Linked DNA regions of Cricetulus griseus. The protein of the gene in region 5 purifies or fractionates together with the protein of the main gene of each other region. This does not show direct contact. Links are inferred from orthologs where the notes say so. Each region holds a gene or a part of one and is shown on either strand. Other genes may lie near its edges.

What was found.
Region 1: the proteins of Ruvbl2 (region 5) and Epc2 purify together in Homo sapiens (co-immunoprecipitation; 4 studies listed by BioGRID and IntAct, counting the BioPlex papers as one, with this or other methods). This does not show direct contact. The link is inferred for Cricetulus griseus from reciprocal best matches to the Homo sapiens genes RUVBL2 and EPC2.
Region 2: the proteins of Ruvbl2 (region 5) and Prpf8 purify together in Homo sapiens (affinity purification with mass spectrometry; 3 studies listed by BioGRID and IntAct, with this or other methods). This does not show direct contact. The link is inferred for Cricetulus griseus from reciprocal best matches to the Homo sapiens genes RUVBL2 and PRPF8.
Region 3: the proteins of Ruvbl2 (region 5) and Eapp purify together in Homo sapiens (affinity purification with mass spectrometry; 3 studies listed by BioGRID and IntAct, with this or other methods). This does not show direct contact. The link is inferred for Cricetulus griseus from reciprocal best matches to the Homo sapiens genes RUVBL2 and EAPP.
Region 4: the proteins of Ruvbl2 (region 5) and Shq1 purify together in Homo sapiens (affinity purification with mass spectrometry; 4 studies listed by BioGRID and IntAct, with this or other methods). This does not show direct contact. The link is inferred for Cricetulus griseus from reciprocal best matches to the Homo sapiens genes RUVBL2 and SHQ1.

Annotation. Positions count from the first base shown.
Region 1 is NC_048599.1:124,848,046-124,854,088, forward strand, and holds the start of Epc2 (enhancer of polycomb homolog 2), read right to left. Parts: upstream 3,778-6,043; 5' UTR 3,478-3,777; coding exon 3,325-3,477; intron 1-3,324. UniProt on the Homo sapiens protein: May play a role in transcription or DNA repair.
Region 2 is NC_048600.1:88,934,243-88,940,388, reverse strand, and holds the start of Prpf8 (pre-mRNA-processing-splicing factor 8), read right to left. Parts: upstream 3,778-6,146; 5' UTR 3,516-3,777; coding exon 3,416-3,515; intron 2,927-3,415; coding exon 2,758-2,926; intron 1,722-2,757; coding exon 1,557-1,721; intron 1,441-1,556; coding exon 1,222-1,440; intron 1,111-1,221; coding exon 898-1,110; intron 569-897; coding exon 443-568; intron 350-442; coding exon 244-349; intron 1-243. UniProt on the Homo sapiens protein: Plays a role in pre-mRNA splicing as core component of precatalytic, catalytic and postcatalytic spliceosomal complexes, both of the predominant U2-type spliceosome and the minor U12-type spliceosome.
Region 3 is NC_048598.1:147,606,108-147,612,144, forward strand, and holds the start of Eapp (E2F-associated phosphoprotein), read left to right. Parts: upstream 1-2,260; 5' UTR 2,261-2,345; coding exon 2,346-2,419; intron 2,420-5,089; coding exon 5,090-5,271; intron 5,272-6,037. UniProt on the Homo sapiens protein: May play an important role in the fine-tuning of both major E2F1 activities, the regulation of the cell-cycle and the induction of apoptosis. Promotes S-phase entry, and inhibits p14(ARP) expression.
Region 4 is NC_048601.1:43,280,278-43,286,336, reverse strand, and holds the start of Shq1 (protein SHQ1 homolog), read right to left. Parts: upstream 3,778-6,059; 5' UTR 3,684-3,777; coding exon 3,541-3,683; intron 2,216-3,540; coding exon 2,151-2,215; intron 1-2,150. UniProt on the Homo sapiens protein: Required for the quantitative accumulation of H/ACA ribonucleoproteins (RNPs), including telomerase, probably through the stabilization of DKC1, from the time of its synthesis until its association with NOP10, NHP2, and NAF1 at the nascent H/ACA RNA.
Region 5 is NC_048599.1:154,327,238-154,332,660, reverse strand, and holds the end of Ruvbl2 (ruvB-like 2), read left to right. Parts: intron 1-1,407; coding exon 1,408-1,514; intron 1,515-1,724; coding exon 1,725-1,818; intron 1,819-1,908; coding exon 1,909-2,032; intron 2,033-2,382; coding exon 2,383-2,477; intron 2,478-2,561; coding exon 2,562-2,680; intron 2,681-4,306; coding exon 4,307-4,426; intron 4,427-4,649; coding exon 4,650-4,779; intron 4,780-4,956; coding exon 4,957-5,071; intron 5,072-5,163; coding exon 5,164-5,189; 3' UTR 5,190-5,276; downstream 5,277-5,423. Other genes in the region: Lhb (lutropin subunit beta precursor), read right to left, coding at 5,398-5,423. UniProt on the Homo sapiens protein: Possesses single-stranded DNA-stimulated ATPase and ATP-dependent DNA helicase (5' to 3') activity; hexamerization is thought to be critical for ATP hydrolysis and adjacent subunits in the ring-like structure contribute to the ATPase activity.

The DNA of each region.
Region 1 (6,043 bases), about 29 Mb from region 5:
GGACACCTTTCATGGGAAGAGGATGCAGGAGGATGGTGAGTCTGAGGGCAGCCTGGCTAGAAACCAAGACTCTTGTGACTTTTGTCTTTAAAACACTGTACATACATACGTGTGTGTGTGTGTGTGTGTGTGTGTGTGTGTGTGTGTGTATGCTGAATCATGATTCATGTAGAGTTCGGCTCAGGCATGTGAGGAGATCTCACTCACAGAAATCTGCCTCATAGTTATGAAATAGTTAATTATCACAGGACAAAAAATAATAATACTTCAGTCATACCTATGTGTTCAAAAAAACAACTGGGCATCAAAAATGGCCTCAAAATTAAGAGAAAAAAACAAAATTAGTATATTTGGTTTTGTGCAGCATCAAAGTAAAGCAACAAAAAGGGCTTCTACAACCTCCTGTTTTCTGTTGCATTATAAGAGTGTGTGTGTGTGTGTGTGTGTGTGTGTGTGTGCATTTATGTATGTATGTATGTATGTATGTATGTATGTATATGTGCTCACACAGAGAATGCACAAGAGTGAACATGCATAGAAAAACAGGTCTCAATACTGAAAAGACGCATTCAAGAAACATTTACCAAGCACATATACTAGGTGCCAGGCACTTGGAATATATTAAGGAACAAAATCAGTAAAGTCATTATAAAGATTATATTCTAACAAGAGAAGAATCTAAAGTATAAACTAGGATTTATTCTTATATGCTTAAGGCAACAAGCAGTCAAATATAATGGTGTCAATAGAAAAAGAAGCAAAATCAAGTTACTACTAATAAAAAAAGAGAATCTGAAAGAAAAGCAAAGCAGAGCAGAGGATACAGCTCAGTGATAAGAGTACAGAGCCCATAGCTCTATCCTCAACACTGCAAAAGAAAGCCAAACCAGAGTTAAGTGATTTAAAAAAAAAAAAAACACCCAAACTTCTTAGTAACTTAATAGTCAAAGCAAGTCAGTATAATTTCTGAAAGTTCTCAGAATTATAAAAATAAATTATTTACAAAAATCCTAATAAATATAATACCATGATAATTCTGGGTTCTATAACAATCCTAAATATGAAAGAATGGGGATTATAGCAGTAAACTTTTCAACATCAAGAGCAAGGGTTTGAATTCCTGACCATTACCATCAGTGAGACCTTTTAGGTTATCTATAAAACAGAAAACTGTAGTGACTCACAAGGCTGTCATCACTAAGATTAAGAGATAATCATAAACTAGGGAAAACTCAAATGTCTAGTAACAAGTACATATGGAGTATATGTTAACTATAATATTATTCAGCAGTAAAAGGAATACATGGTGTATAAAACAAGAGACAATAATTAATAGTATCATGCTGAGCAAAAGAAGCCATACACACATACTTATCCTCCATTGACACAAAACTTCCAAATGCAATGCCAATCTATAGTGAAAGCAAGTAGATGGTCTCCTGGAATTACAGTCCAGGGATTAGCTACAGAGGACAAGAACATTTTCTGAAGTTGGAAATGTTTCTTATTCTTGGTTGTATACATTTGTGAAACCTCATTAAATCTTTATTGTAAACGGGTAAATCTTCCTGAATTTATGTCTCAGAAAAGTAAATTTTTAAAAAAATTTTATATTAAATATACCTAGAATTCTTGACACGGTATCTGGGATCTAAATATTCCACAAACAGCAATATTAAAAACAATAACTACTACTATACAATATTCATGAAGAAATAGCCAAATAACTAATAAGTTCTTTTTTGGGGTTTACAGTAAAAATAAATTACAGAGTTTTAGACCAAGCACCATGAGGAACACTACTGGGACTGAAACACAGGATGACAACTGTTAAACCTCAACAAACATAAGGAAGAGAAGAAAGCAATGTAAAAACACACGTCCAAAAGAAATGGTTAAGAGAAAGATGTGTCCAGCAAAGACAACACCATGCTACCAAAAGCAGACAACTTCTAAATTACCTTATCAAGACACTGTCAGAAGGTAGTTCAAAATTGAGTCAATGACTATGTAAGCCAATTTCTCAAACACGACTAAGCACTAAATCTTAGGCATAAAAGCTAGGCTTTTTTTTTTTTTAATTGAAGGTTTAAAAAGAGGCCCGATTTTATCTTCTACTGAAAATGTTAAATCAGGTAATCAAACACCAAAGAGAATGTGATTAAGTCAAAGCACCAACACAATGAGGTCAGAATTCAAGCAGCCAATCAAAGGCTTAAATGCATTTCCTGCACTATTAATAGTCAAAAGAGAAAACCAATCGCAGAAACCTCCAGCTTTCTTTTGACAGTCACAGAAGCACGGGAACCAATCCACACACACCCGAGGTTGACAATAAGGCGGGACTGAAGGTTCATTGAAGAAATTCTTCAGGGTGCAGTTACTATGAACTTCGCATGCAAGTAACAACACTCCAGAGTCGTAAACACCGTCAAGTCGGGGGAAATTCAGTCTTAGGTAAAATTTAACCCCTGGAGAGAGGGAAATAGCATTTTTGCCAAAATGTTACTATGCGGTCAAAAATACTAATGTCAATGTGGACGCACTGAGTCTTTCAACTTGGAAATGGCCATCTCGCATGCTACCTCCCCGGGACGGTGCGCTGGGAAGCGCGGGCCTGGTTCCTAGCACTCGGGCTTCTTCCTAACGCCGTGCAACCGAGCAGGGCCAGCCCGGCAGGCTAAATCCGCGCGCGGTGCAGGGGGCTCGCTAACGCGGGGTCCCGCTCGGGAGTCGCTGCCCCGGAGCAGGGCTGCACCGCCTCGTCCCGCCGCACCTCCTCGGGCGGGCAGCGCACACCGTCACCCTGCTAACTCAAACCATCACCCAGCTAGCACGAAGGTGTTTGTTGAGTTTTACTTTTCCTGCATCATCTCAAAGGCACTCGAATGCACGCAAGGATCTTAAAGTGTCACGAAAAGATCGCCTAGCCAAAGGACCTCCACCCCCACCCCGCAACACCGCTCAATTAATCAAGCCCGCGCCGGGGAAACGTCTATTACAAGGTAAACAGAGGCCGTACGCCAAGTGCGGCCCGGCGCATCCCTGCGCCATTCCCGGCCGCTGCTTACGGCAAGGCCCCCTTACGGCAGCGTAAGCGGCGCCGAGAGCTAATCACAACACTGGGACGCAACAACATGGCGGCCGCGGGCGGGCGCTGCGCCGGCCGACAGGTTTACGCTACTCCGCCGGCGTAGGGTCCCGAGCGCGCAGCGGCAGCGGCGCCCTCCAGCGAGCGTAGAGCGCTCTGTGAATGGCGAGGCCCGGCTGACAAAGGGGAGGGGGGAGGAGGGAAGGGGGGGTAATAAACACTCGAGTCCCTACCGATTCCTCCTCCTTCTCCATCCCGGTGGGCATCTGGGGCACGGCCCGGTTGATGGAGACGCAGTCGTTGAGATCAGGCATGTCCTTGCCGCGGTAGATGGGCAGCGGTTTGGCGGCGTCCAGCGCCCGCGCTCGGAAGGAGAGTTTACTCATTGTCTCCCCGCCTTACAGGAACAGCCCGGGCGGCGGCGGCGGGGCGGGCGGGGAGGGGGGGAGCACTCCCGCCGCCTCCTCCACCTCCTTCCTCAGTGCAGCGCGGCCGGCCCGCCCCTCCTCCTCCTCCGCACTGCCCCCGGCCCCGCATGGGCGCCCACCCCGCCCAAAAACAGCCCCCCGCCGCCCGCGGCCGCTTCCACACTCTAGATCCGCCGCTCGCCCGCCCGATCCGCTCCCTGCGCCATGGCCAACATGGCGGACATTACCACAGCGGCGGCGAGCGATCCCGGCAGCCCGCGCGAGAGCGCGCCCCCGCCGCGGGGACGCGCGTCGCCCTCTCCCTCCCTCCCTCCCTCCTTCCTCTCCCTTCCCCTCCCCTGCCTGCCCACCCACTCTCTCCGCTCCGCGGCGCGGCGCGGCGCGGCTCGGCGCGGCTAGCCAGCCGGCGACAGCGAGCTAAGTCCGGGTGCCCGGGTGCCTGTGTGCCGGGCGCTCGGCGGGACGCCGGCGGGGCAGCAGGTGCCAGGTGCGCTCGCCCGGGCGCCAGAGCAGACGCCTCCTCTGCCTCTGCCTCTGCCTCTGCCTCCGCCGCCGAGTCGTTCCGCGCGCAGGGCTCCCTCGGGGAGGCGCGGCGCTCAGGACCGCCCGCCCCAGGGGGCAGGAGGTCGGCCACCCGGGCGACCGGTCGCCACTCGAGCCTGCGCTTAGAAAGCTCTGATCTCCGGAGCGCCTGTTGCCTGGTTCGCGCCCCGGGTTTGCGCATCCCGGGGAGGTACGCAAAGTCCGTGGCGTCTGCCCACGCCGAGAGTCACAGCCCTGCTGCGTCTCGCGCCCTGAAAAATCGGGCAGCCCCGGTCCGAAAGAGCGCCCCAACGTGAGGCACTCCCGCCTGCACCGCCTGCACCGGCAGGATGCTTGTGGTAGCCGTGAGGGCTCCTAGTTTGAGACTGCTGGGCGCAACAAGCGGACTTGCACCTGTCATCCAAACTTCCCTAGTTATTTAGTGGATGGTAGGTAGTTCTCTTGACTTAAAAAAAAAAAAAAAAGCCAGTTCTTAAAGGTTCGATTTGAAATATTTTGCCCAAGCAAATACGTATGTTAAAAAAAAAAATACTGGTTGCTGTGGCAACTCGAAGAGTTTAATAAAGTTCCTGAATCAATTAACTTGCATGTTACGGCTTTACAACTGTTGAATAATTAGCAGTAAGAGTCGTAAATACTTGAAGAAAAGAGCATCTGAAAAGATTATAGTCCAAAAACATATAGACAAATGCTTGGCTACTTGAAGAAAACGATACAAGATGACACGAGAGAGTAATGCAAAGTTAATCACCAAATGACATCTACGGGCAGTTGCTGTGACCTGTCAGAGAAAGGCGACATAGTTTTGGCCAGAAGCAGTAGAGCAGTATCTCTGCCAAAGGAAGAATCAAATTGACTCAATTAGATACAGCTACTGTTGACACAAACCTCTTTGTTGCCTAGTTTTCTTTGTCTTTAACCATTACAGGTTTCTCAGAAAATTCCCACAAAGTGCAACAATTTTACCATTTTGTAATTATTGACAAAATCCCTACCTCGCTCAGAAAAGGGTAGATGGTTTGCTAAAATCTAACTGTAAAAACTAATTTCTCCTATTTTTTGATAAAGCACAACTATCTTCATTGCCACCCACTTATTTTCTATTTTTCTCCCTACCCTTTTCCCTTCTCTGTTTCCCCTTTGTCTCCAACTTTCCCTTTGAAGGTAGTATGGTTGAAGATAAACTTCCTAGTAACATCTAAATAATCTGACCAGGCATCAACACTTTGGAGCATAGTTCAGTGGGCTTGTGTTTTACAACCACTGTTATTGGGAACAATGAAAACACTGTGACATGCTTCTTGTAAGCAAAACCGTTCTCATGCTTGTAGGCATGCCCTGCTCTTCGTGCTACCCTCTGGAGTAGTTCCAATCCAATCTTGTAAGGAAGAGCAAGAAGTTCTCAGATTGGGGGTGGGTCATTACTGAGTTCAGACCTGAAAGGCAAGGGGCAACAGTGGTTGAAAAAAATGAGTCACCCAGACCTTTTTATCTGAATGCCTGATCCTTCTCAGGCTCAGAAAGGATAGCTTTCTTGTAGCGTTTCTGCTTAATGTTACACTCAGAAAGTGTGAACGGTGTATGTGTGTGTGTGTGGTTTCAAGAAGTTGAATCCACTTAATTCTTATGGGTACATACTCCTCATAGGGAGAAATACTGTAATTTTTACTAATAAGGAAACTGAGACTCAGACAGGTAACTTGTCAAGTTCTAATACCACTAGTGGATTTCAGAGCTGGATTTAAATCTGGATCTATCCTGAGTCCAAAACTCTATTCTCACAGTGGCATACTTTAGTATCCAAGCTCTTTGGTTTATTGACCATCCAATGTTCAAAAGCTTCTGACCCAAAGTTAATTAATGAAAGCCTCCAAAGTTAATTAGTGAGAACTTCTAGCCAATGGCAAGAATGGCATCTCCTCTTTCATCACTATAAACCTAGTTCCACAGCTCACATGAGGCAGGCCTCTAGTGTGTTTGC
Region 2 (6,146 bases), on a different chromosome or scaffold from region 5:
AGTTATGACTGAACTCCAATGAGCTTAAGGAAGGAGGCCTGAAACCCCAGCACTTAGGGAGAGGCTAAGACAAAAGGTCTGAGAGTACAAACCAACCTGGAACTGCACAGTCAATTTGTGTCAGCCTGTACTATATGTTCAAAAATAAAAAAGCGGGGTAGAGGCTGCTGAGAAGCAGAAATCTTGCCTAGCATGCATCAGACCCCAAGCTCACACCCCATAACGCATGTGATTTCATCTTACCTTGACTGAGTGTCTATGAGAGATTGGGTTGATCAGAGGATCAAAGTAGAAAGCTGGCAAATCAGGATCCTCAGTCTTGATGAATACAACATTAGGAGTGTGGTACCTACAAGGAAAGCAAGAGTCAATCACAGCTCTGCTCTGGACCAAATTTATATGGGTTTTCTCCTGTCGAATTGCTATATTCCAGGTGTCTTACCAGGTCAGGTGGACATGGTGTGGAAGGTTGTTATACAGGTAAGGAAAAGCAATCTTGTATTCAGTACGAATAGGCTGACGGATGATGATCTTATTAATATCATTGAATTCATTCCAGTCTTCATCCCTAGAACAGGAAACCGGATAAGTAGTCTAGCTCCATTGCTAGACAAGAATCTTAAGGATAAAAATTAGATTTTAATACATACAAAGTGCCTAAAATTGGCAGGGTGGTGATGGGCGCGTGCCTTTAATTCCAGCACTCGGGAGGCAGAGGCAGGCAGATCTCTGTAAGTTCAAGGCCAGTCTGGTCTAGAGTGAGTTCCAGGACAAGCCCCAAAGCTACACAGAGAAACCCTGTCTTGAAAAACCAACAAACAAACAAACAAACCCCCCAAAACAAACAAACTAAAAAAAAACCTAAAGTGCCTAACATTGATACTCTCCCCAACTTACTGTAGGTTGATATCTCGAACAAGAGGTTCAAATTTGGGTCCTCCAGGAATGGCCATATTGAGTGCCTTAGAGGTAAAGAAGGCCTTCAGGTCAAACAGATAGAAGTAGTTGTCATCCACCAAGTCAGTCAGAAGCTGATTGGCCAATCGATAGAGAGTGGACATCATAGGCAATGTGAACTGCCAGCGTTGGTAAGTGGAACCATTAACATACCTAGGGAAAAGAAGGAAGGCCTATATCAAGTACGCATTGAGGCAAGCCACTTAACCTACTGCCTTCCCACAGCTACTTTCCAGAACTCTCACGGGAATTAGTTCCACTCACTTCCTACTGTCTCTCAATGGCTGGTGGTCATAGAACCAATCCAACACAGGGGCATCCTCCTCAGGGTCCAGCTCTAGCTGAATGGCTTCCAGAGGCTCAACATCTAAGATGTTGTCAGCATAATCTAGGGGAGGTTCCTCATCATCGAACGGAGGGAAACGCATCCTCTTGAAATGCCTCCTGTCTCTTTTTTCTCGACGCATCATGATCCACATTGACCTAGAAGGCAAAAGGCAAGACCATCATATCATGCTGGATCCTCAGCTGCCACTGCCACTACCCCCATCCCTAAGCACACCAGCCATTACCACCCACCACATTCCAGCCCTTCTCACCCCCACTGGGAGATGTAAACTGGCTCAATGACCCAGGGAATCTCATTGACAAAGGAAATGGCTCCAGTGATGTGGTACAGAACAGGCACATCCCGAATCTGCTCCCAAGGCATGGGCATGTTCTCCAGGAGCTTGAGAACTGCATGAGGCATGTACTTGAGGGCTCTGTAACATTAGGACGAGAAACCATTAGAAATGAGTAAGTATTCTGTTATCTGTCCCTTGATGGCATGCCATGAAGTCATCACATGTTCCACAGAAAATGCTGCCTTAAGCCATCTGTCTCTCACCTATGATGCCACTAAACTGTATGCTCTTAAAAGGAGAGGATCAATACTGTCTGTTTATTGCTATATCTGAGCACCAACAGCAAAATTCAATAATGATAGTAATAATAATGTTTGTTGTTGTTTGAGACGGGTCTCACTATAGAACCCTAGATGACCTGGAACTCACTTGTGTAGAACACGAGATTCACCTGTCTCCCATGTGCAGGGATTATAGGCCTGTGCCACCACATCTAGCTTTTGTTGATGTTTTTAACAGAGCATCTCATGGAGTAGTCCAAGCTGGCCTCAAGCCTGTATCCTCCTGTCTCTGTAACCCAAAGATTATAGTAGTGTAGAGGCATATAATACCATGGCTGGTTAAGAAATTATTTTTGACCAGGTGTTGGTGGCACACACCTTTAATCCCAGCACTTGAGAGGCAGAGGCAGGTGGATCTCTGTGAGTTCGAGGCCAGCCTGGTCTCCAGAGTGAGTGCCAGGATAGGCTCCAAAGCTACACAGAGAAACCCTGTCTCGAAAAACCAAAAAAAAAAAAAAAGATTCCAGGAATGAAACACCCTAAAGCCCCAAATTCTGATGACTGAAAAATTAAAAGCAAACAGAGTGCATATAGTGTCTCAGAGTGTCAAACAAATCAACAATGACATTTTATAATGACATTAGCAGGGCAAATCAAAACAATGGCATAGGTAGAAGACATGAATATTATCATGGAATTCCAATGGTCCCTGCTTTACTCTTACAATCACCACTCTGTGTGCTCAAGAGCCATGTTCCATGCTGAGCCTGGTGGCACTTGCCTTTAATCCCAGTAATTGGGAGGCAGAGGCATGGAAACCATCCGTAGGTTCCAGGCCAGGCTATCCTGGTCTATAGAAACTCCATATGAAATTATCCCGGGATGTTGCTTACCCCAAATAGACCCTTTTGTCATGGCGGAACTTCCTGTTGGTCATGTCTCCATGGTCTCGAATGATCTTCCTGACATGTTCTGGGGGCATGTCTTCCTTCTGAGCATCCACAAACCCAAATTTCCGCTTCTCTGCATAGCGCTTGGCTTGTAACTGCTGCCATTTTCGAGCTATAAAGGCACCTCAGCTTAAAGGGCTGCAGGATCTTACCCTCATTATACCCACTCTTGCCCCTAGGGTAACCCCCACACACAGCATTCTGTGTGGAATGAGGAATAAACCCTGCCAAGTGTCTTGCCATTTTACTCCCCCAAATTATCTGACATTTTTGCTATAGATGTTTAGGAGGGGATGCTGTCTAATTCCTTCCTTGTAATGAAAATCCCCTAAAGAGGACGGGTTTGTCTCCATTGTTATGCTATGCTATACATACATACATACATACATACATACACACACACACACACACACACACACACACACACACACACACACAATTAGCTCCTGCAAATAGCAGGTGCTTCCGATCTTTCAAGGATTTGATTAAATTTTAAGAAATTAAATACGGCTAACAAGGTTGCGGACCTGCCTACAGAGAGATGAAGTGAAACCCGCCTGCACGTTCCAGCCCGCGCGCGCCGTTCCCACTCGCCTCTTACCTTTTTCCTGCAGCTTCTCCTCTGACATGTAGTCCGGCAGCGGGGCTAGGGGGCCGGGAACCGGGTTACCCGGCCCTCGGTAAGGAAACACTCCGGCCATGCCGGAAGAATCTGGGAAGGAGAGGGAGGCCAAAACTACGCCGCTAGGCCCGGGGCCACAAGAGGCAAATGGAACGCGTCCGGAGCCACCTGGCCCGCACGCTAGCCGGGCTGAGCGCTCGTGGCCTGGGCCTGACGCAGCTCCTCAGGCTGCTCGGCCCACCCGACCGTCTGCAGCCCAGCCTCGGACGCTCGCCACCCACCTGTACCCCCTCACTCAGGTAGCGGCTCGGCCCGCAGAGCAATGGCGGAAAGACGACGTCCGCTCCGCGTTCCCAACTCCAGGAAGTGCGCAACAGGGTTCAGAAACTCACCCAATAGACGCCGAGATGCTCTGATGGATTAGCGCGCACTCCAATGGACATTGCAGCCCGCGTCTAGGGGGCGGGTCTAAAAGTCGATTTCATCGCGAGGGGTGTGGTCAGATAGGCTCGCGCTCCGCCTTCCGCCAGTCGGATCTATTTAGGAGGACTCCAATAGAAAAGATGTTTAGTTGGCTATTGATGTTGTTCTCTCAAAGGCCAAAGCCATTACAATTTTAAGAAGTTTGCCTACGATGCACCTTTTTCCTGTATTTATTTTGATGAATTCAGAGCCGATAGGTAATACTAGCTCCAACTCAATGAATCCTTTGTTCTACTGTTCATGCATTCTTTACGTTAGCGTTAGAGTGCCTGCTATGTACCAAGGAATCAAACAACTCTTGGAAGCCCAAGGCAGACAGCCGGAAGGCTGAGAAGAATGCAAGATCTGCTGGAGTGGGAATGTACCAGGAGACCCTTGGTTCATTCCATCTCTAGCACTACATAGACCGATGGGGCTCCACTACATAGCATCCTGTGGGTGAAGGCAGGAGAATCAGAAACACCAGGTCTAGGGTTGGAAAGATGGATGGGTGATTAAGATCGTTGGCTGTTCTTCTGGAGGTCCAAGTTCAATTCCCAGCATTCACATGTTAGCTCATAACTTCTGATTCTAGAGGATCTGATACCCTTTTCTGGCCTCTGTGGATAGTGCACACACGAGGTACACAAAAATAGATTCAACCAGCCGGGAAGTGATGGAGCACGCCTTTAGTCCCAGCACTCAGGAGGCAAAGGCAGACAGATCTCTGTGAGTTCAAGACCATCCTGTTCTACAAGAGCTAGTTCCAGGACAGGTCCAAAGCTACAAAGGGAAACACTGTCTCAAAAATAAATAAATAAATAAATAAATGCAACCAAAATACCCATATACATAAAATAAACAAAAATCAAAAACAAATAAAAGTTATCCTCAGCTATGTAGAGTCTAAGTCCAGACTTTGCTACATGAGACTATACCTCAAAAAAAAGAAAAAGAAAAAGAAAAAGAAATCAAAGATTCTTTCCTTTTTTTTCCCTCTTTCTTTCTTTTTTCTTTCTTTCTTTTTTTTTTTTTTGGTATATGGATAAGTGTTTTGCCTCCATATGTGTCTATGCACCACATACATGCCTGGTGCACATAAAGCTTAAAAGAAGACATTAGATTCCCTGGAACTGGAGATGGTTCTGATCCACAACTTGGGTGATGGGAACCTAGGTCCCCTGCAAAAGCAACAATTTTTTTTCAATATTTATTTATAATATTTATGTATTATGTATACAGTGTTCTGTCTGCATACATGCTTACATGCCAGAAGAAAGCATCAGATCACATTATAGATGGTTGTGAGCCACCATACAGTTGCTGGGAATTGAACTCAGGACCTCTGGAAGAACAGGCAGTGCTCTTAACCTCTGAGCCTCTCTCCATCCTGCAACAAATGTTTTTAACAAACAAGCCATCTCTCACAACCCACTAAAGATTCTTGTAAAGCTTGTAATACAGTGTGATGGGCACTGGTAAGTAGAACATGCCTCCTTGCCTTCAGGGCAAGGATTTTTTTATTCATGTATTTATTTATTTGGTCTTTTGAGACAGGGTTTCTCTGTGTAGCTTTGCAACCTGTCCTGGAACTAGCTCTTGTAGACCAGGCTGGCCTCTAACTCATAGAGATCTGCCTGCCTCTGCCTCCCGAATGCTGGTATTAAAGGCATGTGCCACACTGCTGGGCCAGGCAAGGGTTTTTTTAGCTTAATGCTTACTTATTATAAGTGAGGCACTTATCCTGGTATTGCAAACAATATAAAATAAAAAATAAAAATCCTGTCAGTCATGGTAGTAATCCAAGCACTGGGTTGACAGTAACAAGTGAATCGCTGTGAGTTCAAGATCAACCTAGTCTACATAATGAGTTCCAGGACAGCCAGGACTACACAGAGAGACTGTATCAAAACTAAAATAAAATAAAAATCATCCCTAGCCTAGAAAAATTAAAATGTCTTAGGGGAATCTCATTGGTTGTATCTTCTCTTATTTCTCCTTCCTCTATCTGGCAATGATCATTTTAATTTATGCTATACACAAAAATTAATTCAGTGTGAATCATGGACCTATAAGGATAAAAAATAAAATCTTAGAAGAAAACATAGGAGCAAAACTGGAGACGTAAGCTGCGAGGCAGTGGCCCATTCCTTTGATCCCAGCACTCGGGAGGCAGAGGCAGGCAGATCTCTGTGAGTTTGAGGTCTACAAAGCTACACAAAGAAACCCTGTCTCAAAAAAAAAAAAA
Region 3 (6,037 bases), on a different chromosome or scaffold from region 5:
TTAATCACCAGCTCTTGAGAGGTAGAGGTAGGTAGATCTTTGTGAGTTGAAGGTTGGCCTGGTTTATAATAGTGAGTTCCAGGAAGAGAAGAAAAGAAGAAAAGGGGAAAAAGGAAAAAAGAAAAAGATACCTCAGCAGGCGAGGGCCCTTGCCACTGAAGCTGATTGAGTTCCAGCTCAGAACTCAGGGTTGGAATGAGCTGTCCTCTGCAACAAGTTCTCTCCTCCCCATGGGAACATTTAAAAATGTATATTGATTTTTTTGAGACTTGCTCTCATTGTATTGCCCAGGGTAGACTGGAACTCATTATATAGAACAGGCTGTCCTCTAACTTACAGAAATCTGCCTTGCTTCTGCTTCCTGAATGCTGAGTTAAAAGTTGTGCTTCCTCATGCATATAAAAAATATGCATGGACATATTTGTGGTATGTACCATGTTCACAAGTGCGTTAGAGGTTGTAGAGTTTTTTGTTTTTTTAACTGAAGCAGGGACTCTTGCTATGAACCAGAGCTCACTGATTCAGTCTATAGTTAGCTTCTCTGAGGTGTCCCCTTTCTCTGCTTCTGGAACTGGAGTTTCAGGCAGATGAACTACCTCCACTCAGCGCTGGAAATGGAACTGAGCTAGCTCTTCAGCTCCCCTGCGCAGGTTTTGTACGTACATGTAAATACAGCTTCTGTGAGGTGACGTGTGCGACCGCTGCATCACCTCCAGTAGACAGCATTTCACAGCTCTACTCCCATTCACATGCTGCCAGTTCTTAAATTCTTATGAGTTGTGCGGTTGGTGTAGACCATTCATCTGAACTCATTTATTATCAGCGTTTTGACTGGTTGTGGATCCCAGCAGCGACCTCTACGTCAATCAACGTTCGTGCTGCATAAAACCGCTTCTCTGGCCAGTTGAGAAAAACCACAAACCAGATATAAATAAGTACAAGTATAAGGCAACTTGACAGCATAACCTTTTTACACCAGCCTACAGGCCTACAGGTACCGACAGGCCTAATGAAATTCACTGGGGTTACAACAAATAAACTCCAAACTAAAGAGCAGTTTAATAAAAGATTTTAGAGTTTCCAGCTCTATAATACCATCTAGCAGTAAAAAGAAATATCAAGAAAAAAAAACAGCAGTAACTAGACAAGCACACTCTTCTAGCTTAAGTTTTTTCCCTTACACAACTCAAAAGTCTAACGTTGTACAGTAAAACCAGGGGAGAGCGCGAACGCAGTCCCCCACTACCACAAATTATGCAGTCGAGTTTCCCGCATTTGGGGAAATCGCAGGGGTCAGCACATCCGGAGTGCAATGGATAAGCCTCGCCCTGGGAAAACCACCTTCGTGATCATGGTATCTCCCCTGCCAGGTAAGTATGAGTTGCAGCCGCCCCGCGCGCGCTCTCCCTCATTATAGACTTACTCTCTACTTACGGTCTGTTTTTTACTGATCCTCCTCTCCCTCACATTCCCTTGGTCTAATAGTGAACCCTAAAACCACCCTGTACATAAGTGAATATTATCCATTAACAGTATGGGAAGCCTTCTTGCGGGGAACCTGCATCCTCTGCGTGCATGTCATTTACATACACCACGCCTTTGTTGTGACGTTGCAGGAATGCGTGCTAAGGCCCCGCCTACTAAGGGTGGCGGGGCGAGGCTTGTTATTGATTGAGGGTCAAGTCTGGAAACAAAAGGGGCGGTGAAAACCTGTCTTTGAGGCTCAGGCTCTGGGCAAAAAAGCAGCTCTAGCTCATCGTTTCCGCCAGCGGAAGGAACTCATCCTCACAGTTCAGTTCTAGGAGATTCACCCCTGTAATGTTTAACTGCCGATAGAAAATCTTTTTACTTTTGCATAGTATTTTTCTAGGTAGGTCTACCACATATCACTTATTTGCATACAAACCACTAAGCCTAATAAAAACCTGGGGAGAAAGGCCAAGATAACAACTTGGAAGAAAGAAATCAGAGTGCACGGTGGCGCACAATTGTAATCTCAGGGCTCCGCAGGTCAAGGCAGGCGGAGCAAAGTCAGCCTGGGCTGTGTAGCGAGTTCTAGGTCAGACTGGGCCAGTGAGACCATCTCAGAGGCTAAATAAAGCGACAGCAACAACAAAAATCCATAAAAAGGCAACTGCTGTTTTCAGCGGCAAAGAAAACGCAGAGCCAAGCTGATCCCCGACCCTCCTCCGGTGCCCGTGCCCTGGGACGCCCTGCGCAGGCGCGCACAGGAAGGGCTCGCATGACCAGCGGAAGTGGAGAGTCGGGACGCTTTAGGGGAGGTACCCGCGGAGTACACAGACACCCGGACCTGCAGGGGACCGCGTAGGCCTCCCTAGGCCGCCATGAACCGGCTGCAGGATGATTACGATCCCTACGCCGTGGAAGAGCCGAGCGACGAGGAGCCGGCTCTGAGCAGGTGGGCCGCTGCCCCGCGGTGTCCGCCCGGCCCTGGCCCGAGGCCGTCGTGCTCGCCGAGCCTGGGTACACTGTTCCCGCTTCACTTGTAGGAGCCTCAGGGTGCCTGGTGGGGCTGCTCAGTCTCTGGGGAACCGGGATGGACAGCAGTGCGGGAAGAGGGATGTTCCAGAATCCCGGGGGGCCCCCAAGCGTAAATCTCAGCTGGAACCCTGCTCCTTAGCGTTTGCTAGCACTGTGACTGAAGGCAAGTCAGTTCTCCTCAGCTTCGCATCTGTAAATGGAAATACAAGTGTGGGACTCGTGAGGTCCACAGGCCTCAGTACTCATCTGGAAGACTGTCAAATAGAAATAACGGAGCAGTGAACGGGGAATTTCTTTTGGCTTATGATAAGAGATACAAAATACACAATTCTTGTCTTGGTCTGTGGTACTTTTGGAAAGGGAGTATTTATCCTACCTGAGGGAACTTGGAATGCTTTTACTTATATGTAAAACATGTTTTTTTTCCCCGTTTTTAAAAACCTTGCCGGATATTAAACCCAGGGAATTTTTTAAATCTATCTGTTTCGGTTTTTTAATTTTAGTTTTGAGACAGGGCCTCAATGTGTAGCTCTGCTTGGCCTGGAACTTGCTCTATAGACCAAGTTCATTTTGAACTCAAGAGACCCACTTGCCTCTCTGCTTCCAAGTGCTAGGGTTAAAGTGCACCCCCCTGACTGGCTTGTTTACTCCTTTATTAACCTAGATTCTAGAGTAGTGGTTCTCAACCTTCCTGATGCTGGGGCCCCTTAATACAGTTCATGCTGTGCTGACCTCAACCATAAAATTACTTCATTGCTTGGCAGGTGTTCGGTGTTTCGTGGGTTGGTTAAAGGAAGAGGATCACTCCTAGATGAATTTTAGGTTTTCTGGCAGCTGGGAGGAACAGTTTCTGTGAACTGAACTCCAAACATTTGTGCAAAGTTGTATTTGATTGTTACACAAAAGGTGTTTTTTTTTGTTTGTTTTTTTTGTTTTTTGTTTTTTTTTTGTTAAAACAAGTTCCTTATACCAAAGTCCCTAATATAGTCATATGTCCATGTCCTTCTGAAGAAAAGCATCACACATGTGCCACTTTAGTCCTTATTGTTCACTGTATTATTGGGTATTGCAGTACCCAGTAATCCAAATTATCCAGGTGTGCCAGGACAGTCTTGTGACCAAAGTCATGCAAAGACTGTAAAGCTCTTTCAGAAAAACAACTCTATAGATAACAGCAAACAATCACTGTTTTTTACAGTGATTTCTTCAAGGTCTCAGTACTTCTAGAAAGCAGCTATTATGAAGTTTATCTTTAATACAGTGAAAAACAACTGTTTCATTCTAATGTTTACCTTAGATACAATGATTCTACTAATTTTTCTTGCTATATTTCTACTTTATAAATAATCTTGCTACTGTTATGAATCATACTATAAATATCTGTATTCAGGGTATCTGATATGTGACTCACGAGGAAATTGAGAACCATTGTAGAAAGGGCATGTGGGTGCTGGGAGGGGAGCTAGATATGAACATGCACACAGTAAGTCTGTTACAAGCTAAACCATCTATTTAACTGCTATATGTTGATATATTAACTGTATATTAATTGTATCTCTCTCTCTCTCTCTCTCTCTCTCTCTATATATATATATATATATATATATATCCTAAATAAAACTCTCAGTTTTGTGAAGTAAGTTTTTTTCAGTTGATAGAATTATGAATTGGTACAAATATTGAAAATCAATGTGATAATACAAGAAGTCAGAAAGAGGGACAGAAAAGATGGCTCAGGGGTTAAGAGCACTGGCTGTTCTTCCAGAGGACCCGGGTTCAATTCCCAGCACCTACAGAGCTGCTCACAACCATCTAACTGTAGCTTCAGTTCTACGGGATCCAGTGCTCTTTTCTGGCCTCTATGGGCACCAGGCAACACAATTGATGCACAGATACACATACAAACAGAACACCCCCACCCCCACACACAAACGAAAGAAAGAAAGAAGCCAGACAGTGGTGGGACACACCTTTAATCCAAGCACTCAGGAGGCAGAGGCAGGTGGATCTCTGGGTTCAAGGCCAGCTTGGTTCTGCAGAGTGAGTTGTCGGACTACACAGAGAAATCCTGTCTCACAAAACCAAAACAAACAAGCAAACAAAAAGTAACCAACCAAACAAATAAAAAACCCAGAAACCCGCCCCCTGAAAATCGGAAGGATTAGCTGATCTATTGTTTATTAATGATTATTGCTGCATGTAATGTGATAGGTATATCAGATGTAAATTTGTCAAATTTACATTTGCTATTAAAATGATAGAAGTTTTAAGTGATTTTATTTTGTTTTGTGATGCTATATTTTTAACCTAGGACCTTGCACATTTTATGTGAGTATTGTACCACTGAGCCACAGCCTAGCCGTGATTTTAATATTCAGGGCTAGAGAGATGGCTCAGTGGTTAAGAGCACTAGCCACTCTTCCAGAGAGGTCCTGAGTTCAATTCCCATTTGTAGTGGGATCTGATGCCCTCTTCTAGCCTAAAGGCATACATGGAGATAGAGCACTCCTGTACATACTCCTGTAATAAATAAATTAAAAACAAAGAAAAATACTTTAGTATTCATATTCCCTGTCTGTTATGTTAGTTCTGAAGATGAAGTGGATGTGCTGTTACATGGAACTCCTGACCAAAAACGAAAACTCATCCGGGAATGTCTTACTGGAGAAAGTGAATCATCTAGTGAAGATGAATTTGAAAAAGAAATGGAAGCTGAATTGAACTCTACCATAAAGACAATGGAGGATAAGCTGTCCTCCATGGGGACAGGTAAACTGTGGGCTCAGTTCTCACAAGACACCCTGTAAGGGAGTGAATGAGTGTATATATGTGTGTGTGTGTGTGTGTGTGTGTGTGTGTGTGTGTGAATGACGGGTAGTGATGGGAGGTAAACCTGGGTCTTGTGTTTGTTAGGTAAATGTTCTACCACCGACTTCTAGCCCCACCTCCCTTAAAATTTGAGACAGGGTCTGGTTAGTTATTCAGTCTGGCCTTGAACTCACTGTAGCCTATGTGATCCTTTTGCCTCGATTCTTGAGTGTGAACAGGCCTGATTAATACAATCCTTACTAAATGAAGAAATGAATGTACTTGACAATCTGCCCGAGTTTTCCACTGACTAACACGTGTCATGTGTTATTGGAAAGATATTATTTAATAACAAATACATGTATTATTTCCTTTTGTAGTTTTTAACACATGTGGGCATAGTGGCCCACACCTTTACCCCCAGCATTTGGGGGCAGAGAGAGGCGGATCTTAGAGTTTGAGGCCAGCCTGTCTACAGAGTGAGTTCTAGAACAGCGAGGGCTACACAGAGAAGCCCCGTCTCAAAAAAACCTAAAGAAAAACAAGGCATACGAAAAATTGTAAGGTTTAATGGTATGTCACTACAGATTCCTGTCCGTTTGTAGTGACTAATAAGCATATTTCATTTTTAGATTTTTATGTAAAAGTTACTTGACCCAGAAATTGGTTTGTGGAAGTAGGACTGCTCGGAACTGGTTTTCACGTTGGTGTGTTTATAACTTGAGGA
Region 4 (6,059 bases), on a different chromosome or scaffold from region 5:
TACAAGTGTGTGCTCCTATTTCCAGCCTACTGTTTTAAACATTTTACCTCTTTTGGCACACTGACATGCAATCCAATATATCAAATGCAACTCCACCCAAATACCCATACATATACAACTCAACTCTAAGAACTTTACGCTTTTTATTTTTTTAAGGTTTTTTTGTTTTGTTTGTTTTGTTTCTAATACATGTGAGTACAAGTGCCTACGAAAGCCACAAGAGGGTGTCAGATTCCCTGGAGCTGGAGTTACAGGTAATCATAAGCCTGTGTACTGCAAACCAGAAACTTACATCCCCTCCAAATGGGACATATATGTGATTAGCAGCTGAGCTATTTCTCCAGCAATGAAGAGATAATTTCATTTTAATTATTTCATTATTATATGTAAGTTATTAGCAATTAAAGGTAGGCCCATAAGCTACGATGGCAGCTTCCTTATATATCATTTTCACATCAGTTATACTGCATTATGAGTGAGAATCTGATCATAAGTTTCTTTAGTCTTGTTTCCCTCCTTTACCCTAGTTCACTGGTCACTTGTTACTGAATAAATTATGAGTGTACACAAGCTCTTTAAATTTAAGAAATTATTATTATTGTGGGTGCATGTGGGGCACATTTGTGCTATGATTATGTGTGGCAGTCAGAGCACAGCTTTGGGAAGGCAGCTTTCTCCTTTTCCTTTACATGGTTCTGGAAACCAAACTCATGTTGACAGGTTTACTAGACAAGCGCCTTTACCCACTGAGCTACCTTGCTGGCCCCACATGCTGCTCTTACTCCAAACCCACTTACAAAGGAAAAGACAAGAGCTTGTAGAAGAGTAAAATAAACCGGTTTTGGGGCTAGCTAAAATGGGGACTTACCAATCATGAAAAGAAAATTCAATTACTCTTTACATTTCTTCCATGGATAATTTCACATCTACCTGTTATTAAATTTTAACTTTGAAAACTGTCAAAGAAAAATTCCATTCAAAAGCTCATAAATCATCCCTACTTTAAAATCAATCATTTCATGTTGATGTTTACTTTTGCACATGTGCCAAAAGTAGAAACAATTCCAGAAAATGAAACTAGAACATTTGATCTAAATTCACTTTAAAGAGTATTGAAAAATACTTTAAAAGACAGAAAACTGCTAACTGCGCAAAAGCCAGATAACAGGCGCTAAACATTAAAGAAAGAGTTATGCATCATACAATAACTGTTAGACATCTAAAAGTCCCCATGGTATCTTTTAGGACTACTACTATGAGGTATAAGTAACATAAGGAATCCACAAAACCCTAACCACCACTGGGCCTATGGCTTAGTCAGTAAGGCACTTGCCATACAAGCAGGAGGACCTGAGTTTGATTCCCTGAACCCAAATAAAAACATAAGCTATGCGTGTAATCCTGGAGCTGGGGTGACAGAGATGGGTATTCATGAGGCTCACTGCCCAGCCTTTCTAGCCTGATAAGCAACAAGCAACTAAGAAACCCTATCTAAAAAGCATTCCTCCAGATGACATCAGAGGTTATCCTTTGGCTTCCATTTGCACATGCACACACATGAACCCCCATACACACACAAGCCCCTCCCAACACACCCACCCACCTACAGCTACATATGCTGTTGTATAGTATCTCGGAGTCAAACTACTCCCATCTTCAGCTACGGGAGGCTCTGCCCACAAAAGGTTATCACAGCTGAGCCTGTGGAATATTTTACCTTGTCTCACAGAAGGAGAGGGTCAGAGGGTCATGGGACCCTCACCTGATTATTCAGCCACTCTCCATCCCCAACCAGTGTGATAGATAAAATTCTGTCCCAACTGCATGTGGGTCATGGAGGAGGGGATAGAGTATAGGATGAGGGGAGGGAATTCAACCTATGCAGTGCTGGGGAAGCCAGGCAGACCTTCCACCGTGGCTACTTCAGAATCACCTATGCTCCTGCCCATAGCCCCTTACCAGTGCACTGCTCTGTAAACCTAAAATACTCAATGGTTCCCCCAGGGAACTTTGATGGAATCACACCTAGTTTGTCAAATGAGACCTTAGGAGAGGCAGAACTTGTCTCTTAGGGAAGGAATTTTAGCAACACAAACAAACACACACATAAAAAATATAGAAAACTTTGTCCAAAACCCCAAAGGCCATACCTTTATCTGCATCATAGGTTCCCTGTTCACTTCCATTTTCTACAATCCTTCCAGGAAGTGTTAATCTGCAGATTAAACACAAGGTAATCCATCACCAATCACAGTTCATTTTTAGCCATCAAAATCTATCAACCATTTGAATGGCAACTTCTCCGCAATTCGTTCACATTTTACAAGCTAAATAACTTAGATTCCTTCTTCAACTAAGAAAGTAAAAATCAAAGATATCACGACTTTCCATTTAATACTTTAGCTATCAATAATCAGATGTTGGGGGGCCTCACTATAAACCTTAGTTATCAAATGAAGTTATGTTTGTTCGGCTTTGTTTTAACTTAATTTATTAATAAAGCGACATCTAAGGTTTGTAGGTATAGGGGAAATAGTTTATACAGGGTTCATTACTATCCATGGTTTCAGATACCCACTGAGGAGTCTTGGAAATATCTTCAAGACATCTAAAAGTCCTCATGGTATCTTTTAGGACTCCTACTATGAGGTATAAGTAACATAAGGAATCCACAAAACCCGAACCACGACTGGGCCTATGGCTCAGTCAGTAAGGCACTTGCCATACAAGCAGGAGGACTTGAGTTTGATTCCCTGAACCCAAATAAAAACATAAGCTGTAGTGGAACATTCGTGTAATCCTGGAGCTGGGGTGATGTCTAACAGTAGGGGGGTGACCTACTGGATTTTCAAATTGACATGCTAATTGACATCTAATGTGGTTCCCTTAAAGCAGTGAAGAAACCAGCTTGACAGCAGGGGAGGGCTCAGTTGAAAAGTGGAGGGCCACGAACGGATGAGCAAGTTTAGGAAGGCTCACAGAGTCCACTGCACAAGGGGGCTAACAGTACTGCCTAACTCAAAGTATGGCTATCAAAAATAAGACGCGAGCGCTTAAGATACTGCCTACCTACCACACGAAAGGTGGCCCCAGTGTCAGCTGCCACTACTGTTTTGGTTCCACGGGGAGAAAAACACAGACGGAAAAGTGCTAAGCACTGCTCGCCTCTCATGGACTGACTAATCAGATGCAAAAGGAACCTGAGAACTAACTGCAGGAATCAGAGGGCGGTCCTCCAAGAGGCGGACACGGAAAGCATGCCGGCGTGGGTCAAAACACCGACCCACGCGGGGAAGTCACCACGCAGGGGAGAGGCGCGGGCGTGAGGCGAAAGAACAGCACAAGCCAGAAGGACGAGGGTGACAGGACAGACACTGAGTGGGTGGCCCCGTGCTCTGTGGCAGGTAGACCGCGCGCCAGGAAGAAGCCGCCGAGGAGGCAGCAGCGAGAGAGCCGCGAGTGCGTCCACGAGGCACGGACTGACTCAAGAGCCCGCGCGGGGTGCTGAATAAACGCCGAGCGCGGGCGGCGGGAACTCGCCTCAGAAAGTACGGCTTGGCGTAGAACTTGAAGTCCACCCCCTCAAAGTACACGTCGAACTCGGAGGCACGCGCGTGCGGGATGCGGATGGCGACCGTGAGGAACTCGCTGTCCTGGCTCAGCTCGAACGCGGGGGTCAGCATCGCCGCGCGCTCCGGGAGCCACCACGGGCCCCGCTACGCACGCGCCAGGTCCCGGAGCACCAGACCCACGCCGCCGGCTTCAGCGCTTCCGGCCCGAGGCGGAAGTGGGTGCGCGTGAGGCCGGAAGTCCTCTCCTGCGCCAGTCTCCTTGGAGACGGGACGCTTTCCCTGGCTAGGCGGAGTTTTCAAACTGACTAGAAAGGGAAAGGATGCCCTGGAGCCAGGCTTCGACTGAGGGAATTTTTGGAAGAACTGGAAATCTAACCCGGAAATTTGCGGACTAACCGGAACACCAGATCACTTTAGACTCACTGAGAGCCTATGGAGAGGCTTAGAAATTCTTTTGATTGCCTCGGTTTTTTCAAGTAAACAAGGTGTATTTGAATTCCCAATTGTACGACCTTAGGAAAACCTCTACCATAAAAAGGAGAATAATATTAGTCCAGCCTCCTCAGATGCTGCTAGGATGGCATAAAGTTATCCAGGAGGAGCGCTGTACCCTTCCACTCAGCAAGTGGGAGCAGGTTCTGCAGTAGCCACAGCTACTTACATTGTCCCTGTCTCTGAGGTTTCCTTCAGTTCTCACTGCTGGCCCCCTCCCTCAGCTTCCTCTCCCCTTCAGTAACCCTTCTTTGAATAGTTTTCTCATTAACAGAGCATCAGTCTTCTAATCTAACCCACACTACAAACCCCAAGGAAAAGTGGGCTGAGAGAGGTTTAACAGGATCAGAATCCAGACGCCTAGTCAGTGCCCACTCTCAAGAATTGTCCTTCCTTTTTATTTGTTGCATTTTTCTCTTTTCTTACATGCGTCAGAAGCTGTCTTTTGTCTTTTTTCTTTACTCAAGTATTCTTTTTAGTTCCTCTGTGATCCTCACTCTCCCAACGCCTTTCCCACGTGTCTCCCACTCCCCTCATGTATTCTCTTAGGCATCCTTCCCTCTCATTCCTTTTACTTCGAGGAACTAGCACAGTACATATCTAGCATTGCACTGGCTAGTTCTATGTCAACTTGACACAAGCTAAAGACATTTGAGAGGAAGAAACCGTACTTGAGAAAATGCCTCTATAAAATCAGGCAAATGTGTAGGGTATTTTCTTGGTGATTGATGGCCGAAGTCCAGCCCTTTGTGGGTGGTGCCATCTCTGGGCTAGTGGGCCTGGGTTCTATTAAAAAGCAGGCTGAGAAAGCCATGAGGAGCAAGCCAGTAAGCAGCTCTCCTCCATGACCTCTGCATCAACTCCCTTCAGGTTTCTGTCCTGTTTGAGTTGCTGTCCTGATTTCCTTCAATGATAGACAGCTGTAAAAATAAGTCAAATAAATCCTTTCCTCCTCAGTTTGCTTTGGTCATGGTGTTTCATCTTAAAAATAGTAACTTGGAGACAAGTATGAATTCCCTGTCTGTGAATGTCAGTGGAATAGCTGGGCTCAGTGGCTTGCACCTGTAATCTCCTCACACACAAGAAGCAGAGGCAGGAGGATTGTACAACTTTTAGACTAGGGTCATCCATATAATGAGTTCCAGGCCAGACTAGGTGCTCTACTTTGCTTTTTATTGTGATAAAAACCATGCCCAAAAACTACTTGGGAAGAAAAGGGTTTGTTTGTTTGTTTCCTTCCAGTGCATCACCCAGTGAAGTCAAGGTATGAGTTAGAGCAGGAATAGAAGCAGAGACCAAAGAAGAAGAAAAGAAGAAGAAGAAGAAGAAGAAGAAGAAGAAGAAGAAGAAGAAGAAGAAGAAGAAGAAGAAGAAGAAGAAGAAAAGGAGACCATGGAGGACCACTGCTTTCTTATCTGTTCAGTTTGCTCTTTTATGTAACCCAGGACCACTTGCCCTGGAGTAGCACCACCCAAGAAGACCCAAGAAGGCTTGGCCTTCCCTTGTCAATCAGTAACCAAGAAAATGCCCCCATAGATTTGCCTCAGGCCAATACAATAGACATTTTCTTAATTGAGGTTCCCTCTTCCCAGATGACCCCGGCTTGTACCAAGTTAATAAAAAACTAACTAGCACTCTGGGCTACACAGTGAAACTGTGTCTCAAGACAACACTAATAAGAAGAAAAACAGTAAATATCAGTGAGAAGGATTTAAAGTCATTTCCTGTGACAGTAAAGATCCCCAGATACCCACAAAAGCCTTCTTGACATCTGGCTTTTGATGATTCAAAGGAAGCAATCTTAACATTTAATTGGGACTCAGAAAAAAAAAGTTAGCAGGCCTCCACATTAGCTGGATTCCTGGCTATGTAGTAGAGCTACAGTAACCTTGTTCTGATTTCTTCTTTTCCTTCCTGGAGCTCTATGAAGAAGCCATTTATATTCTGTTCACTTGCACAGGGTCACACAATTTGTCAGAGGCTTAATGGGAATTG
Region 5 (5,423 bases):
GTAAAGCTTTTTCCAAGAGATATCTTTAAGATTTGTGTATGTGTATATCTGTGAACTTTTTTTAATGGCTCAGCAGTAAAGAACATGTACTGCTCTTCCAGAGGACCCAAGCTCAGTTCCCAGCACCTACTTTGGGTGACTCACAGCCAGTTACTTATAACACGGTTCTAGAGATCCAGTACCCTCTTCTGGCTTTTGTGGGTACTGCATTCATGTGCACAAACCCACATATAGACACACAGATGCTGCTTGTAATTAAAGAGAATAAAATGTTAAAATATTTATGTACAGATAAACCCATTTCCCCCTTAGACCCTCCCTTTTACCATGCCACCTACCCTACAGGGGCCAGAGACCAACAGTTGATTCCCGAATAAGGCCTAAGTAGTCTAATGCCTGCTTATGCCCTGAGGAGAATGTGTGTGTGGGTGGGTGGGTTGGTTAGTTGGTTGGTTGGTTGGTTGGTTGGTTGGTTGGTTGGTTGGTTGGTTTTCTTGGCAGGGTTTTTCTGTATAGCTCTGGCTGTCCTGGAATTCACTTTGTAGGTAGACCAGGCTGGCCTCAAATTTAATTAACTTTTTATAAAAGGATTTTTGTTTTGTTTTTGCGTTTATTTAGTGGGTGTGGAGGTCAGAGGACAAATTGTGGGAGTAGGTTCTTCTACCACACTGGTTCCAAGGTCATTAAGATTGGTTTCAGGTACTCTGTCCACCAAGCTGCTTTGCTGGCCCAGTTTCAATTGTTTGATTTTTTATAATCAACAAAAACACTTTTTTACTGTGGTCAGATGCTCAGGAGGCTGAGGCAGGAGGTCTTATGAGCCCAGGGATAATGAAACGAGAGAATAGGGCTGAGGATGTGCAGCTCAGTAGCAGAGGGTCAGCCTAGAGTCAGTGTGAGAGTCTTGCCGTGTAGCTTGGTGGTACAGCGCTGGATGCAGGCTTCCAGCCCCAGAGTTGTGGGGGGAGGGATGCCTTTCATCTGGGTATGAAAGAGCCATGTTAGGGGCCAGAGAGATGGCTCTGCTGTTAAGAGCAGTGGCTGCTCTTCCAGAGGTCCTGAGTTCAATTCCCAGCAACCAAGTGGTGGCTCACAACCATCTGTAATGCAATCTGATGCCATCTTCTGGCCTGCAGGCATACATGCAGGCAGAACACTATACACAATAAATAAGTATTAACTAAATACAGAAACAAGTGGGGGGGGGGGTTAGCATTTGGTACTTTCCTCCACTCATTTGTGGGCTTCACAGTTACACATCAGCAGACATTGGAGGGTACATCTTGGCACCCATGACACCACCTTCTGAGGCCATCCCTTCCACAAGCTTCCTATGCCACACCAATTTTGAAGCTGTGGTCACAAAGGGGTGAGGTCATCTAAGGGTTTCCTGATGTGTCCCCTCAGGGATCTAAGGTGGGCAAACTGACCCTCAAGACTACGGAGATGGAGACCATCTATGACCTGGGCACCAAGATGATCGAGTCTCTGACCAAGGACAAGGTCCAGGCCGGGTGAGCCACTGGGACCATGAAGGTGGCTGGGGTAGTGAGAATGTTTTTTTTTCCATGACAGGGTCTCTCTGCCTGGCTGTCCTACAACTTGCTTGTAGACCAAGCTGGCCCTGAACTCACAGAGATCCTCCTGCCTCCTCCTGAATGCTGGAACTAAGGGTATGCGCCACCTCTGCCCAGCCCTTTCAGTCTTTGCTGTTGCCCCTGCAGGGACGTGATCACTATTGATAAGGCCACTGGCAAGATTTCCAAGCTGGGCCGCTCCTTCACACGCGCTCGCGACTATGATGCCATGGGCTCCCAGGTACCTGGCACTGGGATGTTTGTATATCTTTTGTGACGTCATGAGGTGCCTGTGCCCTTGCTGCCCTCACACCTGCCCTCAACCCTATAGACCAAGTTTGTGCAGTGCCCAGACGGGGAGCTGCAGAAACGCAAGGAGGTGGTGCACACTGTGTCCCTCCATGAGATTGACGTCATCAACTCCCGCACTCAGGGCTTCCTGGCCCTCTTCTCAGGTCAGCTGTCCCTCCCCAACCAGTCCCCAGCAACTGATGTACCCCCCTTCTGGTGTGTCCCTTCTTTCTCCTCCCTTGGCACAACAAACCCCCGGCTTTCCTGCCCCTTCAGTCTTTCTTCCCAGACCTGCTGTTTGCCTTCTGTTCCCACTGGAGTTTGTCCTTCCCTGCATTGCCCTCACACCCTTTGTCAGGGCCTGGCCTTCCGTCCTTTCTAAAGTGCTCCAGGTCCTAGCCCTGCTGCTGTAGCAGTAGAGCCCTCCTCTGTGGCATTTGTCTTTCTCTGTCCTTGCCCACCCCGGATCCTGGACCCAGTCTCCATCTCCACTGATGTGCCCTGTGTCTGGCAGGAGACACAGGGGAGATCAAGTCAGAAGTCCGAGAACAGATCAATGCCAAAGTGGCTGAGTGGAGGGAGGAGGGCAAGGCGGAGATCATCCCTGGGGTGAGTGGCTAGACACAAGGTGGGCGGGTATGACCTGGGGAAAGGGGTGGAGGTGAGCTTGATCTGTGCCCCAATGGCTTCTAGGTGCTGTTCATCGATGAGGTCCACATGCTAGATATTGAGAGTTTCTCCTTCCTCAACCGGGCCCTGGAGAGTGACATGGCCCCAGTCCTCATCATGGCCACCAACCGAGGCATCACCCGGTGAGCAGCCGTAGATTTCTGGGTGAAGGGGCCCTCTGGATCAGGGGATTGATGGCAGCCTGAGCATAAGTGGACTGAGTGCCATGGTTGGTTAACCTAGCACCTCCTTCTGAAGTTTGCCCTGTATGTTGCCCCCACAATCCTGGGCCACTTGTCGTTCAGAACTGTTGACCAAGACACCCAAAGATACCCCAGGAAATCACCCTGTGCTGAGCACAGGGGCATCTGTTAGACATGTCACAAACTGCTGGGATCAGGCAAGTCACTCAGACTAGTAGTTTTGATCTAAAGATGCTGTGGAGTTCTGGGCATGGTGGCACCCACTCCACCAGTAGTCCTAATACTATGTAGGCTGAAACGGGGATTTTGAGTTCTATGCTAGTCTGGGCTACATGAGACCCTTTTTTTTTTTAAAAAAAAAAAAAAAAAAAAAAAAAAAAACACAAACAAGCCACGCGGTGGTGGCAGACGCCTTTAGTCCCAGCACTGGGGAGGCAGAGGCAGGTGGATCTCTGTGAGTTGGAGACCAGCCTGGTCTACAGAGTTCCAGGACAGCCTCCAAAGCCACAGAGAAACCCTGTCCCCCGCCCAAAAACAAACAAACAAACAAACAAAAAACAGGTCTGAAGCAATGGTTCCCAGGTTAAGAGGGCTGGAGTTTGGAGACCCAGGAGGGACAGGACCCAGGGTGCCAGACTCCCGCTGGTGGTGGGTCATGAGCTTCATCAAGCATATTAGCCTGTCTCATGTTTTTCCATGGCATCCATCCCCCGTTTTTTTAAAGAGTGATGTGTATGTAGGCGGGGGGTAATGTGTAAGTGTGAGTTCAGGTGTGTGCAGAGTCCAGAACAGTATGTCAGGTTCCCTGCAGGTAAATTGACAAACAGTTATGAGCAGCTACCCATTGTGGGTACTGGGAGCCCACCTGGGGTCCTTTGTAAGAACAGTATGTGTTCTTAAGCATCTCACTTTTGTGTGTGTTTATATATATGCACACATGCATGTGGTCTGCACAGATGCCACAAGAGTGTGCCGTACCCTCTGGAACTGGAGTTATATGTGGTTATGAGAAAGGTAGAGGGTAGACAACAGGCTGTGGCCTGGCAACCTCACCTGCTCTGCTCTTCACCCCATTCCATCGCTCCCACTTAGGCCAGCAAAACTCATCGACTTGCTAAGGCCATAGGTTTAAGGTGGCAGGGTGAGAGGAGAGGCATCTTTAGACCAGTGCCTACAGAGGAGCCAGTCCTCAGGTCTCTGAGGGAGGTGGCTGCTTCTAATCCCTTTGTCACATGACGTTCACCTGCAATCCCCAGTCCCGGAAGTGCACTAGTTCTTGGACTCTAGTTTGGAGTCTGGCAGCTGTCCTGAGCCACCTTCCTGGAGAACAGCATCATTATTTGTGGCTAAACTGCCTATGACTGGAACAAATTGTTATGGGTCCCATTGCCCACCAAGAATTGCCTGTGCAGCAGGGTACAGGAGAGCCACTGGCACTACTGGGGAGGACTGTGCTTACAGGTGATAAGAGACTGTGCTCATATAGTTAGTTATTCAGCTCCCAAGTGGACTGATGGCTGTCATGGTTTCCAGGAGCATCCATTAACAATCTTCCCTGACCCCCAGGATCCGAGGCACCAGCTACCAAAGTCCCCATGGCATCCCCATTGACCTTCTAGACCGCTTGCTCATTGTGTCAACATCACCCTACAGTGAGAAGGACACCAAGCAGATTCTACGCATCCGGTGGGGCACCCCTGGCCCCTTTATAGGAACACACATTGGATGGGAGGGATTCACCTAGGCCTCTGCATCTGAGAAGACCAGTATGGCATCCTACCAGTGGGGGAGTTCTGGGGGTAGGGTTGGGAGCCCCTCATATGTGGTTCTGAGGCATGTGTCACGTGTCTTTGGGGGGATGGGTGGGGTGATGTGCCATTCTGTCTGGCTGAGGCCTGCCTGCCCACAGCTGTGAGGAGGAAGATGTGGAGATGAGTGAGGACGCCTACACAGTGCTGACCCGCATTGGGCTAGAGACCTCCCTGCGCTATGCCATCCAGCTCATCACAGCAGCCAGTCTGGTGTGCCGGAAACGAAAGGTAAGCTAGCAAGTTAGCCTGGAGGACTGAAGGGATGACCCTGGGGTAGCCTACAGACCATGGCACATGGGTATTGGGTGGGGACTGAGAACCACAGCAATCTTAGAGGAAAAAGTGGCGGGGGAGGGGAGACCCATGACCCTAAGCTGACATGAGCTGAGTCCCACTTGTCCCCAGGGCACAGAGGTGCAGGTAGACGACATCAAACGAGTATACTCCCTCTTCCTGGACGAATCCCGCTCCACGCAGTACATGAAGGAATACCAAGATGCCTTCCTCTTCAACGAGCTCAGTGAGTATCCCTCCCAGCCTGCTGCCACTGCGGGAGAGGGCCACATGGGAGCACCCTGGACCTCACTCATGCCTGGCTTCCTCTCTCCACAGAAGGCGAAACAATGGATACCTCCTGAGCTGAAGCTCCACCCCAACCCTTCCTACCTTGTTTTCTACAAGTTCTGACACTGTGACTCTGTATAAAATGGTTGTAAACAGCTGGAGCCCTGCTGTGTGTCCTCAGAGCCCACAGAAGACACCCTGGTGCACTTGTAAAGCCTTTATTGGGAGGGAAGGTTGGAACACCTGCCAGCTCCTTGAGATAGAGGCTTTAGGGGGTGGGCCTCACAGGAAGAGGAGGCCAGGGAGGT